2 linked regions of the Coturnix japonica genome follow. The protein of the gene in region 1 purifies or fractionates together with the protein of each later gene. This does not show direct contact. Links are inferred from orthologs where the notes say so. Each region holds a gene or a part of one and is shown in the gene's direction. Other genes may lie near its edges.

Region 1 (5,178 bases):
CTGAAATGAGGGAAGTTTCAAAGAGTTTTGTTTTGAGAATTGCTTTGCTTTGGGGTTCCAGATTACCAAAGACAAGATCTATGGATGACTTGCTTTCAGCCTGCGACTCCAGCAGCCCGCTGACCCGCACATCCAGTGACCCAAACCTGAACAACCACTGTCAGGAGGTGCGTGTGGGCCTGGAAGCCAGGCATGCTGCCACCGAGGGAGCCGAGCTGCATGTGGGAGAAGGCAGCGTGGTGGCTGCTGCTGAGACACAGCAAGTGGAGGAGCAGCAGGAAAGTGCCCCCCCACCAGCCAGCAGTGCTTTCAACAGCAGTGAGTGTGAAGAGCAAAGCAAGAAGCTGAACAACTGGGCTCCTGTGCCAGCAAACGGCGTGTCTGTGGAGGCAGAAAAGGGAAACGGAACACACATGGAGGAACTGGATGGTGCATGCCCAGCTCCAGATCCTTCCAAACAGGAAAATGTTGACGGGGTTTCCACCAGTTCTGGAAAGCAATTAGAATCCTGTTCCCAGGAACCTTTGAAGGCTGCTGGCTTGGCACCCAGTGGAGAAGGCTGCCCCAAGAAAAACACCACCTGCCAAGACATTCCCAGCCAGGAGCCACTGGCGCCCAGTGCTCCTTGTCAGGAGCCGAGCATCCCCTGCCCAGATGAAGACAACAGCAAAGGTTATGCTGGAAGGAGGGGGCTCTGTGAGGATCCCTGCCGGATGGGGAGAGTCCCACTAGAGCAATGGCGCAAGCCCATCTCCCAGAGCCAGAGCAGCGAGTTCTCCTTTTTGGGGTCCAACTGGGACAGTTTTCAAGGAATGGTGACATCGCTCCGCAATGGGGAGCCCACGCCCAGACAGCTCCTGTCCTACGGTTGTTGCAGTAAGAGGTTGAGCAGCAAACAGCTGCGGGCACCGGGCCTGTGTTTCAGTGGCCAATGGTCTGCCAGGGAAGGTGCAAAAGGCTCAGTCTGCTCTGGGCACATCGGCACGCATTTTGCAGGCTCCGCAGGGAAGCCCAGCCGCTCGTGGCTGCCCTGCCACGTGAAGCAAGCGCCTGGTCCCAAGCACATGCCACCGAAATGCCCTTCTCCTGTGCCTCCTCTCTACCTGGATGACGACGGGCTCCCTTTCCCCACGGATGTGATTCAGCACAGACTGCGGCAGATCGAGGCCAGCTACAAGCAGGAGGTGGAGCAGCTCCGCAGGCAGGTGCGGGAGCTGCAGCTGCGGTTGGACATCCGCCACTTCTGCGCCCCACCGGCTGAACCGCCCATGGACTACGAGGATGATTTCGTAAGTAGCTCTCACAGCTTCAGCTGCGCAGTCTCTGCCAGCAGCAGCCCCTGCGCACCCCCCCACACCGCCTGCTCCAAACTACATTCATGTTCCTATAACTTCAGAGCAGATGGTTAAGACCACTGCTGTGTTTCTTCAGCCCCTCTCCCCTCATCCACAAGCCCCGTCCTCGTGCCTCCTGCAGGTATTTCTGCTTCCCGGGGGCCAAGCAATGGCTGCTTTGCAGTCACAAAAACCTCAGTGCTTTGCCCCTTGCACAGGGAAACTCAGAGCCACTCATGTGCCCCTCACGAGCACTGTGTGGCTGCAGAGGGAGCGCCCTGGGACACGATTTGTGACTCTCCTTTTGCAGACTTGTCTGAAGGAATCAGATGGCAGCGACACTGAGGACTTCTGCTCTGATCACAGTGAAGATTGTTTGTCTGAAGCGAGCTGGGAGCCTGTTGACAAGAAGGAGACCGAGGTACGTGTGTTGTAAGAGCAAATGCCGTGAGTGCAGCAGGAGAGGATGTTTCCTTTCTGGCAGCTGATTTCTATGGTTACAGCAATGATGACTAGGCTGAAAGCAGGGCTGAGAGAAGCCACCCTTGTCCTTTAGGCAAGAGAGTCTGTCAGAATCCTCATCTGCTGCTTCCCACAGAAAGGAACCCGTGGGATGGGCTGTCTCAGGACTGGCCTGTTCTGGTCCAGAGCAACATCTCAGCCTGTATTCGGGTCCGAAGGTCTGGTCAGTGTGATGTTAGACATGGAGCTGATGAGGACTGTGTTTGCCCTAGGTCACGCGGTGGGTTCCAGACCACATGGCCTCGCACTGTTTTAACTGCGATTGTGAATTCTGGCTGGCAAAACGGAGGCATCACTGCAGGTAAACCTTAGTTTTGCTGCAGTTCCACTTTTCTCCTCTGCTTATCTCTTAAACCTCCCCAAACGCTTGTCTGCAACGTTCGTCCCCTCCACCTCCAAGAAGAAACTGTTGTGACCTTGTTTTATTTGCTGGATCTCAGGAATTCCCTGCAGATTCCCAGTCTGCTGTGCTTTCCTTGTTCCCATTTCCCCAGAGTCTTTGGTCCTTCTGATCCTGAACAGGGTCCTTTCTCCTTGCTGAAGTTTTGCTCTGCTGTTCACAGCTCTCCTCTCACTGCCTCCCTTTCTTCCTGGCAGGAACTGTGGGAATGTGTTTTGTGCCGGCTGCTGCCACCTGAAGTTGCCCATCCCTGATCAGCAGTTGTATGACCCCGTCCTCGTTTGTAACTCCTGTTATGACCACATCCAAGTGTCTCGTGCCAGGGAGCTCATGAGCCAACATCTGAAGAAGCCCATCGCCACAGCTTCCAGCTGAATGCCAGACAAGGGACCTGTCTAAGCCCAGCCTTTTCTCTCATGGGTTTGAAGGGTGACTCTGCCTCCACTGTAATTGTGAAGGCCTTTGGTGCAACACTTGAACACCAAGCTTGAATGCACTGTCTTCAACAGTCTTACGATCTGACTGGAGCAGAGGAGCTCAGATTAGAGAGTACAATGTGCCTCCACTCTGGTACCAGTGGGCCCGTACATTGTAGTCTGACCTAGGGCAAAAGAGGGGATTGCAACCTCTTATGTTTGTGGGCTGGAAAGCAATGTTCTCACAGATATTGCCTGTGCAAAGTACCCCCAAAGCAATAGAAAGGCATGTTTAGAACCAACTCCCCCAACAAAGGCAGGCTGCTGTAACAAGAAGGAAGAGGGCAGAGTTGAGGTGGTACTATGTGCTTTGGAAGGGCCTCAGCCTGGAGCAATTCTGTAGATTCTCTTTCCATGAGTGTGATTTGTGATCAGCTTGGTGAACAAGACTCATTAGCCATCACCGATTGATTTTCTCTTGAGCGTTGAAGAGAAATTCATTCTGGCTGAAAACAGGCCGAGCAGATGTTGCCTGTTTTCACGCTGTGCTAGGGTTGGTGAATGCACCTGACTCTGCCCCTGCCCGCCAGCTGTGCGGGGAGATGGGAGATTGGCTTTTTCACTTCCTGCTCTGCCCGTCTGCTTTGTCTGCAGTAGTGTCACAGCCTGGTGCTAACACAGGAATGGCACCCTGATCCTCTCCTGGCATGGAAACAGAACTCGTGTTCCTGTGTTGCTCCTCCTCCCCTTTTCTGCCCTCAGCTCTCCACTTCCTACTGCTCTGTATCCTGAAAACTTGATACCTTGAGGGTATAGGCCATAATATGTTGTTTTACCTCCTGGAATGTGCTGTCTGGTGTATGTGAGGGTTTCAGTCCAAATGCTGCTATATATTTCTGTGCACTTAATGTAACCCGAAAAAGGGAGAATGAAGCATCGATACCAAAATGGAGGTGGCTGACATAGACACTGCGGTCTGTGCTTTTCACTTTAGGATGTACAACCAAGCTACAGCGATAAACATGACACGTGGCATCTGTTCAGTGGTGGAAACAATATCTCTGGTTTGCCCCAGTGCTGCCTAAAATGCCTCTTGAATTTGACTTCCTTTTTTTCGTCTCCTGTACAGTGGTCAGAGTTCAGAGTTGCCAACTTGCGATTGCCTCTCTGCCTGATCCTTGAAGTACAGAGCAGGAATCCCAACTCATTCCAAAAAAAGAAAAGTAACTGGGTTTAGAAAGTAAGAAAGGTTTCGAAAGAGAAGATGGCGCTGGGTGAAATTGTGTTGAATTGCTGGATCTCTGTGGGAGATCCATCCTGCCTCCTGAGATATCGGCAAGTTTTAGTGAGGAAGAAGGGTTTGAATGTGGGGCATTTCTTCCCAGAAATGTAGGTTTTCTTCCCAAAGACATGAAAATGCCCTTTATGTGCACCGTGAGCTGAGACTTCTGATGTTTGGAGGGAGAAACTGTGAGGGCATTTGGTCAAACAAGGCAAAGAACTTTACGCTGTTGTCATCTCCCAGATTTTTGCTAGTGGTTTGTCATCTCCATCAGAGGGAATGGAACAGTGACCCTTTTCCTGCACTTTGATATGTCAGCCTCTGGTTTTGTAAATCCCAGTAGTGCAAACAAAGCTAGCACCATCTGAAGACCCTGTTCCTACTTGGACTCTGCTTCTTTTCCATACTGGGAACAACCGATTTGGCTTTGGGACGAGAAGGCACCTTGCTTCAGATTCTCCCCTGCCTTGTACCTTGCAGTCATTGCCAGACATGGAAGAGTGACCATTGGGCTGGCAGAAGGATTTGCTCCTGTTTTACACATGTTGGAATGACTGCAAGCAATAAGGAAGCCAGAAACTAGGTACTCCTGGCCCTTCTGTTCAGGCCATTAGTCCAAACTGCTTTTAGCTCTTGTGAGTTTCAGCGTCACAATGTGCTGGCCAAAAACTCTAAAATCAGTTCTATAGCATTGTGACAAACAAAATGTGCTGTACAACTCAATACAGTTGAAATAAAATCTCTATATTAGTGCTGCTGTGTCTGGGCCCATTATTTCATTTGTGGTACATTCTTGCTCACCATTTCCTTGGTTGTTACCTGCTGCCCTGTCCCTTGGTTAAGGTATGTCAGGAATTTAGTATTCCTTCTCACAAATAATAATCATGGCGAGGACACAAAGCACATTATGTCATGGCCTTCTACTCCAAAGCCCTGTGCTCTTTACCAAACAAACCCATGGCTGCCCGGGATTCCAACACCTTCCAGTCTCTCCCTTAATGACTCAGTGAGGAATTTTTCTCAAGAAGAGAGCTACTAGGGAGTAGTCAACCTTAGAAGGCAACAATTTGTGGGTGATAATCAGGAATGATTTTTCTGCAAATAAAACAAAACCCCACAGCTGAACTTCCAGGCCCTAGGATTAACGTTTGCAGTGTCATCTGGCTGCACAGAGAAGGGCTGGATGCTAGAACTGCTACCTGACTTCTGGCATCTCATGTCCAG
Region 2 (5,178 bases), on another chromosome or scaffold:
GGCAGAGATAATAGCTCTGCACTTGCATAAAATAAAATATGAAAAGTAAGTCAGCTAAGAGTTAGTTGCAATAATTCACCACTTTATCCACAATTGTTCTCTATGACCATTAGTCATTTTTAAGATGACCTTGGTGAGAGCTCTGGTTTTGACTGAAGTATCAGAGGAACTCAGTTTTACATATCCCAATTCTTGTCCAGATAGTTTTTTCCAGAGGTTTTGTTTCTTCACTAAAAGTAAATAAATGTTAAATTCAATACTCTTTAAGGGTGATGGCCAGTTAACTGAATTTTACATCCTTCCCATTTACACTGACTGAGTATGGAAGGCTTTTCTCTTGCAAGGTTATTACAGTGTTCACTTATTTGCTAAGGTAGTACCACAGTCACTGACAATCATCCCAGTTTTTTGGACGTGTTTCAGGAACCTGAAGTGGAAACTGAGCAAAATGTGAGAGACCTGAAAGCTGGTCTGTGTCTTTCAGACATTTTAAACTAGCCTGGCCTAGGAGATCTATTCAAGTTCTATGTTCTAGTCAAACATCTATAACTACAAGCCCCACAGGATACACTCTAACTATAGGTTTCCTTGCCCTTGCAAGGTGGTTTGGGCCTTTGCTACAAAGTCAGCATGTCTAAGACACTTATGAGCTGTGAAACTGACAGCACAGCTACAGTGCACTGGGATCTGTCTTAACTGCTGAGACTGAGATATGAAACATGGTAGTCATACCCAATAGCCACACTTGCTTGTTCCTTTTAAGCCAAGCCTTGTAATCTGCCTACTTGCAACTTATACTAAAACATGATGTGCGTGCTAGCAGCATAGCTGGATGGCTGGCTCCCATTAGATACCAGTGAGCTATTTATAGGGGAAAAAAAAAAAAGCCTTGGAGCATCTTGGTTAGTTTTGTTGTCCTGCTCAGTTAATTCAAGTGATTATGCCATCAGTTCTGAGACTGTAGTATTACCAATTAACACATTTGATTGTTTCTTTTCTTTTATTAGATGTTAAATGGATTAATCAGTGTAGGCAGCGTGGATTGTCAAAAATTCTACTCTTTCTGTCACCAAGAAAATGTTCGGGGATATCCTGAAATAAGACTCTTTCCTCAAAAATCAAGCACAGCTCATCAGTATTAGTAAGTACCTCAGCTCAGAAAGTGAATGGTCTCACACTAAAGTCACATGTTCTGATGCAAGGAAAAAATGTTCATTAAATGCTACTATAACAGGCTTCTGTAATACTTCCTTACCAGTCATCGTTGACTTCAAACACATGCCATTTTAATTTGCTGAAATGCAAGTTAAACGGAAACTCAGGAACAGGGTTTTTTCTTTCTTCCTGTTTAGCAATGGCCAGTTTTCCAAGGTAAGTAGCGTGTTAAAGTAGATGATGTAAATCATAGATTCTAAAAATATTAATAGGTTTACTTATTTGCAGCTTCAAAGAACAGCGTGGTATAAATTTGTTCTGACCATCCTTAGCATCACTGCAAGAATTGTCTTTGCACATCATCCCATTCACTGTATAATTCATATGAAAATATAACTCACTAACACCACTAACAACTCTCAGGGAAATGAAATGTAGCCAAAGAGCCCATCCCCTTTGTTTCACAGTACCGTGTGAAGAGCTGGGGATTTCAGGAGGTGAATGCCACAGGTCTGAAATATTAGAAGGCTCACTTATTCTTTTACAAACTGGAAAGCTGATAAAATGCTGGCAGATAACAAACTAATGCTTCTTCACTGTAACACTTAATAGCAGGCTTGGCTTTAGTAGCTTTCATCATGGGATTGCGTACTTTTATTTTCTTCTTCCAGACAAAGTTTCTCCCAAAAGCAGGCTTTTATTTCATATTTGAAAAAAACAAAATTTGCCAAATTCATAATGCTGAGTTACTTTTTTCCTGCAAAAATATTGGTATGTGTCTTTAAATCAAATTAACCTAAAAAAGGTCAGATTTTCACCCGATACCTCTATTCTGACAAATACTTTATGAAGCTGCAAATGGATACTAAACTTTCTCTGGAATTTCAAGCTAAACAGTACCTCGACAGTTCATATAATAAATCTTGGTCTAAGTTCCTCGTTTGCCTTGCTTTTCTACTGTTAACTTGAGGGGAACATATATAAGTAACAATAATTCCATTATAATAAAGAAAGATCAGTTAAAATATGTATATAAAGGCATTCCAATTTAATTCTTATGTTTCTTAATGTCTGCAGTTATAGAACTATCACTAAAAATCATTCAGACAGAGCTAGCAAAGCTCAAGCACTCCACAGCATGTTTCTCAGTCTCTTGACACAGAATTGTCTTCTTTCCTTTCTTTGTTCTACTGCTCCTTAATTCTCTACCTTTGAATAACAATGCCTTTAATTATTCAGAACTGAAAGCAAGGCAAAATGTATTTTAAAGTGTATGCATGCTTTAAGATTCATTATTTTATCACCCACTTAACAGACTTTTTGGTTTTTCAAAACAGACAGCCAAGATGTAACCAGCTTTTTGCTTTCTTCTTACAGTAGCTATAATGGATGGCACAGAGATTCATATTCACTGAGAGGCTGGGCGTTAGGGTAAGTGACAGCATTAAAGTTTGCAACCAGGTTGCATAAGGTTGGTTGTTCATAGAATTTTATATCCAAACTGTACATAAATCAAGAACTAGAAACCACTGTCATGTTTGTAATACTTAAGATTTTAATGTTCCCATATCTTTTAAGTCAAGCTTTTAAAAGCATGGAGAAATATTGCTACTCTGTGCACCCATTTCCCGAACAGCTGATCTTTTGTCTACAACTTCTAAGTGATTCCTTAATAGTACAACATGTGAAGCAGGAATTTCCAAACCACTTTTCTTGCACTTCAGTGGAACCTGCAAATATGTTTGAGGCACCAAATGGATGATGATGACTGACATTCTTCCTTTCTTCAGATATTTACCACAAGCGTCCGTAGACCTGACTCCGCAGAGTTTTACAGAAAAAGTTCTGAATGGGAAGGATCACTGGGTCATTGACTTTTATGCTCCCTGGTGTGGACCTTGCCAAAATTTTGCTCCCGAATTTGAGATCCTTGCAAGGGTAGGCTTTTAACTATATCAGCAGATTGCTATTTTTTTTTCCCCCTACTAACTGTGGTTGTAATAGTCAGCATCACTCGCCACCACACTATTCCTAGGCAGTTATCCAAAAATCACTTACTCCTTTCTAGCTATAGGGGAGAAATCTTTTAATATTTCAGTTTTTAAATAGCTAACCATTGCTGTCTTGGTTCATTATTCGCTGTTGATTTTATTATCTTACAGGTAGGCAGTTATTGCCTTGTACAGAGAAAAAATGAATACAGCATTTTACCCTTGTGATAGCGAGAGAAGACTTATTTCCATTTTTAAGTCAGGCATTCCCTGTTTTCATACTAGTCTGCTGTAATTTCAAATCAAAACCTCACTAACCCTATTTGCATAACAACTGAGATATCAGATACACTGTCATTAGAATTCTGCCCTTTTTAGGTTCCCTTTGTCAGTGGGCACTGGCCCTGATACAAACACATGCATACAGGCCCTCCTTTAGACAAACTTCAGTTCATGACTCGGGGCCCTTTGGAACCGTGGTGTGCTGTGCTCTGAATTCAAGAATGTGTGCTCTGCAGAATGTAGGGCAACTTCTGATACAAGGCTGTGGGACACTGAGAATGAAGCAAGTGACTATGAGTTATTTAAAAGATTTGAGCAACCTCTTCTGCTTATTTTTAGCTGCACTGCTGGCTTATTCAAATTATCTGCTTATAGTCAGCCATGGAAACATGAAGCTTGTTTCTAACAAAAATAATTCTTTTTAGGCCATTAAAGGAAAAGTAAAAGCTGGAAAAGTAGACTGTCAAGCATACGGTCAGACCTGCCAAAGTGCTGATATCAGAGCCTACCCTACTGTTAAGTTTTACCCCTACCAAGGAACAAAGGTAAAGTGTCTCCCTTTGTGTACACTGCTGGGCAGGTACTGGTAGTAGATTTATTTCATTTCCCATTAAAATTGAGACTGTTTCTATGCATATGGAAGCATATGGCATTCTATATTCTATAGCATATGGAAGCAGAGAATTTAGATATTCAAGAAATAAAATTGTAATTGATTTTAGTAATACCCAAAATACAGTAGTGACATCTTACCGAAAAATAATAAGTTGTAAATTAATCAAACAGCAACTAAAGCAGAGACTTAATCAGAACTGGGGTTGAATTGAGCAGGAGACTGAAGTGACAAAACAGTCTGTAAACCACTGTTAGCATTAGCTGCTAAAGCAGGCAGTCTCTCAGAATGAAATGTGGACATTCTCATTGTGACTAAGGAGAAATACACTTTCACTGCAATCATAAGTATTTCATTGACTTGTATTATAGAACATTCATAGAAAATACTGAGTTGATTTCTGTCTTAAGCCTTTAGAAACTACTTCAACTATAAAGAACTAAGACTAATATCTATTAACAGATTAGAAATATTAAATTTTTAAAAACTGAAGTGTTCATACAGTTCTACGAAAATGCCTTTATTCTTGTACGAGCAATTGACTACTATCACATTTCACAAAAATCACAGTCATCTTTAGGTGAATTAACCTGAAAGAGAATCATTCAGTGTATATTCATAGTTTAGCCAACTCAACTGTAAACACATATATACACATACATATGTATATAATATCCACCTCTTACAAAAAAATGCTAGAAATCCTTACTTGCACAGTGCCCTCAAACTCGGTAAGACTATTCTGGGTTCAGAATAATGGCTTCTCAGGTCTCCAAATAGGGACCTACATCATAATCGATGTTTAAGAAATCTATCACAAGTTCCAGATCTGTTAAATGTCATCAACATTAAACACCGAGCTGAATGAATGAGAAAAAATGGCAAATAGCTCTTTCAGATTTCTGTAACCTAAATGACCAAGTTTGTATAGTTCTAAAAACTGCACCTAGGAGTGGTTCTTACTGCAAAAAAGAATCAGCATTGTTGAAATAAAGGTAAAATTTTATCACTGAATCATAAATCAACCTACCAGAGCCACTGTCTGCCTCCTTCCACTCCTCCTGGATTTTATCTAAAAGTAAGGAAATTTCCTATTCAGTGTCATGCAACAATTTTTTCTTTAATTTTCTCTTATTT

Evidence for each region. The genes of interacting proteins can lie anywhere in the genome.
Region 2: the proteins of MTMR4 (region 1) and DNAJC10 purify together in Homo sapiens (affinity purification with mass spectrometry; 3 studies listed by BioGRID and IntAct, counting the BioPlex papers as one, with this or other methods). This does not show direct contact. The link is inferred for Coturnix japonica from reciprocal best matches to the Homo sapiens genes MTMR4 and DNAJC10.

Annotation. Positions count from the first base shown.
Region 1 is NC_029534.1:396,035-401,212, reverse strand, and holds the end of MTMR4 (myotubularin-related protein 4), read left to right. Parts: intron 1-61; coding exon 62-1,289; intron 1,290-1,644; coding exon 1,645-1,755; intron 1,756-2,068; coding exon 2,069-2,157; intron 2,158-2,453; coding exon 2,454-2,631; 3' UTR 2,632-4,708; downstream 4,709-5,178. UniProt on the Homo sapiens protein: Lipid phosphatase that specifically dephosphorylates the D-3 position of phosphatidylinositol 3-phosphate and phosphatidylinositol 3,5-bisphosphate, generating phosphatidylinositol and phosphatidylinositol 5-phosphate.
Region 2 is NC_029522.1:12,188,651-12,193,828, reverse strand, and holds part of DNAJC10 (dnaJ homolog subfamily C member 10), read left to right. Parts: intron 1-1,007; coding exon 1,008-1,141; intron 1,142-2,532; coding exon 2,533-2,586; intron 2,587-2,945; coding exon 2,946-3,093; intron 3,094-3,853; coding exon 3,854-3,973; intron 3,974-5,071; exon of another isoform or gene 5,072-5,113; intron 5,114-5,178. UniProt on the Homo sapiens protein: Endoplasmic reticulum disulfide reductase involved both in the correct folding of proteins and degradation of misfolded proteins.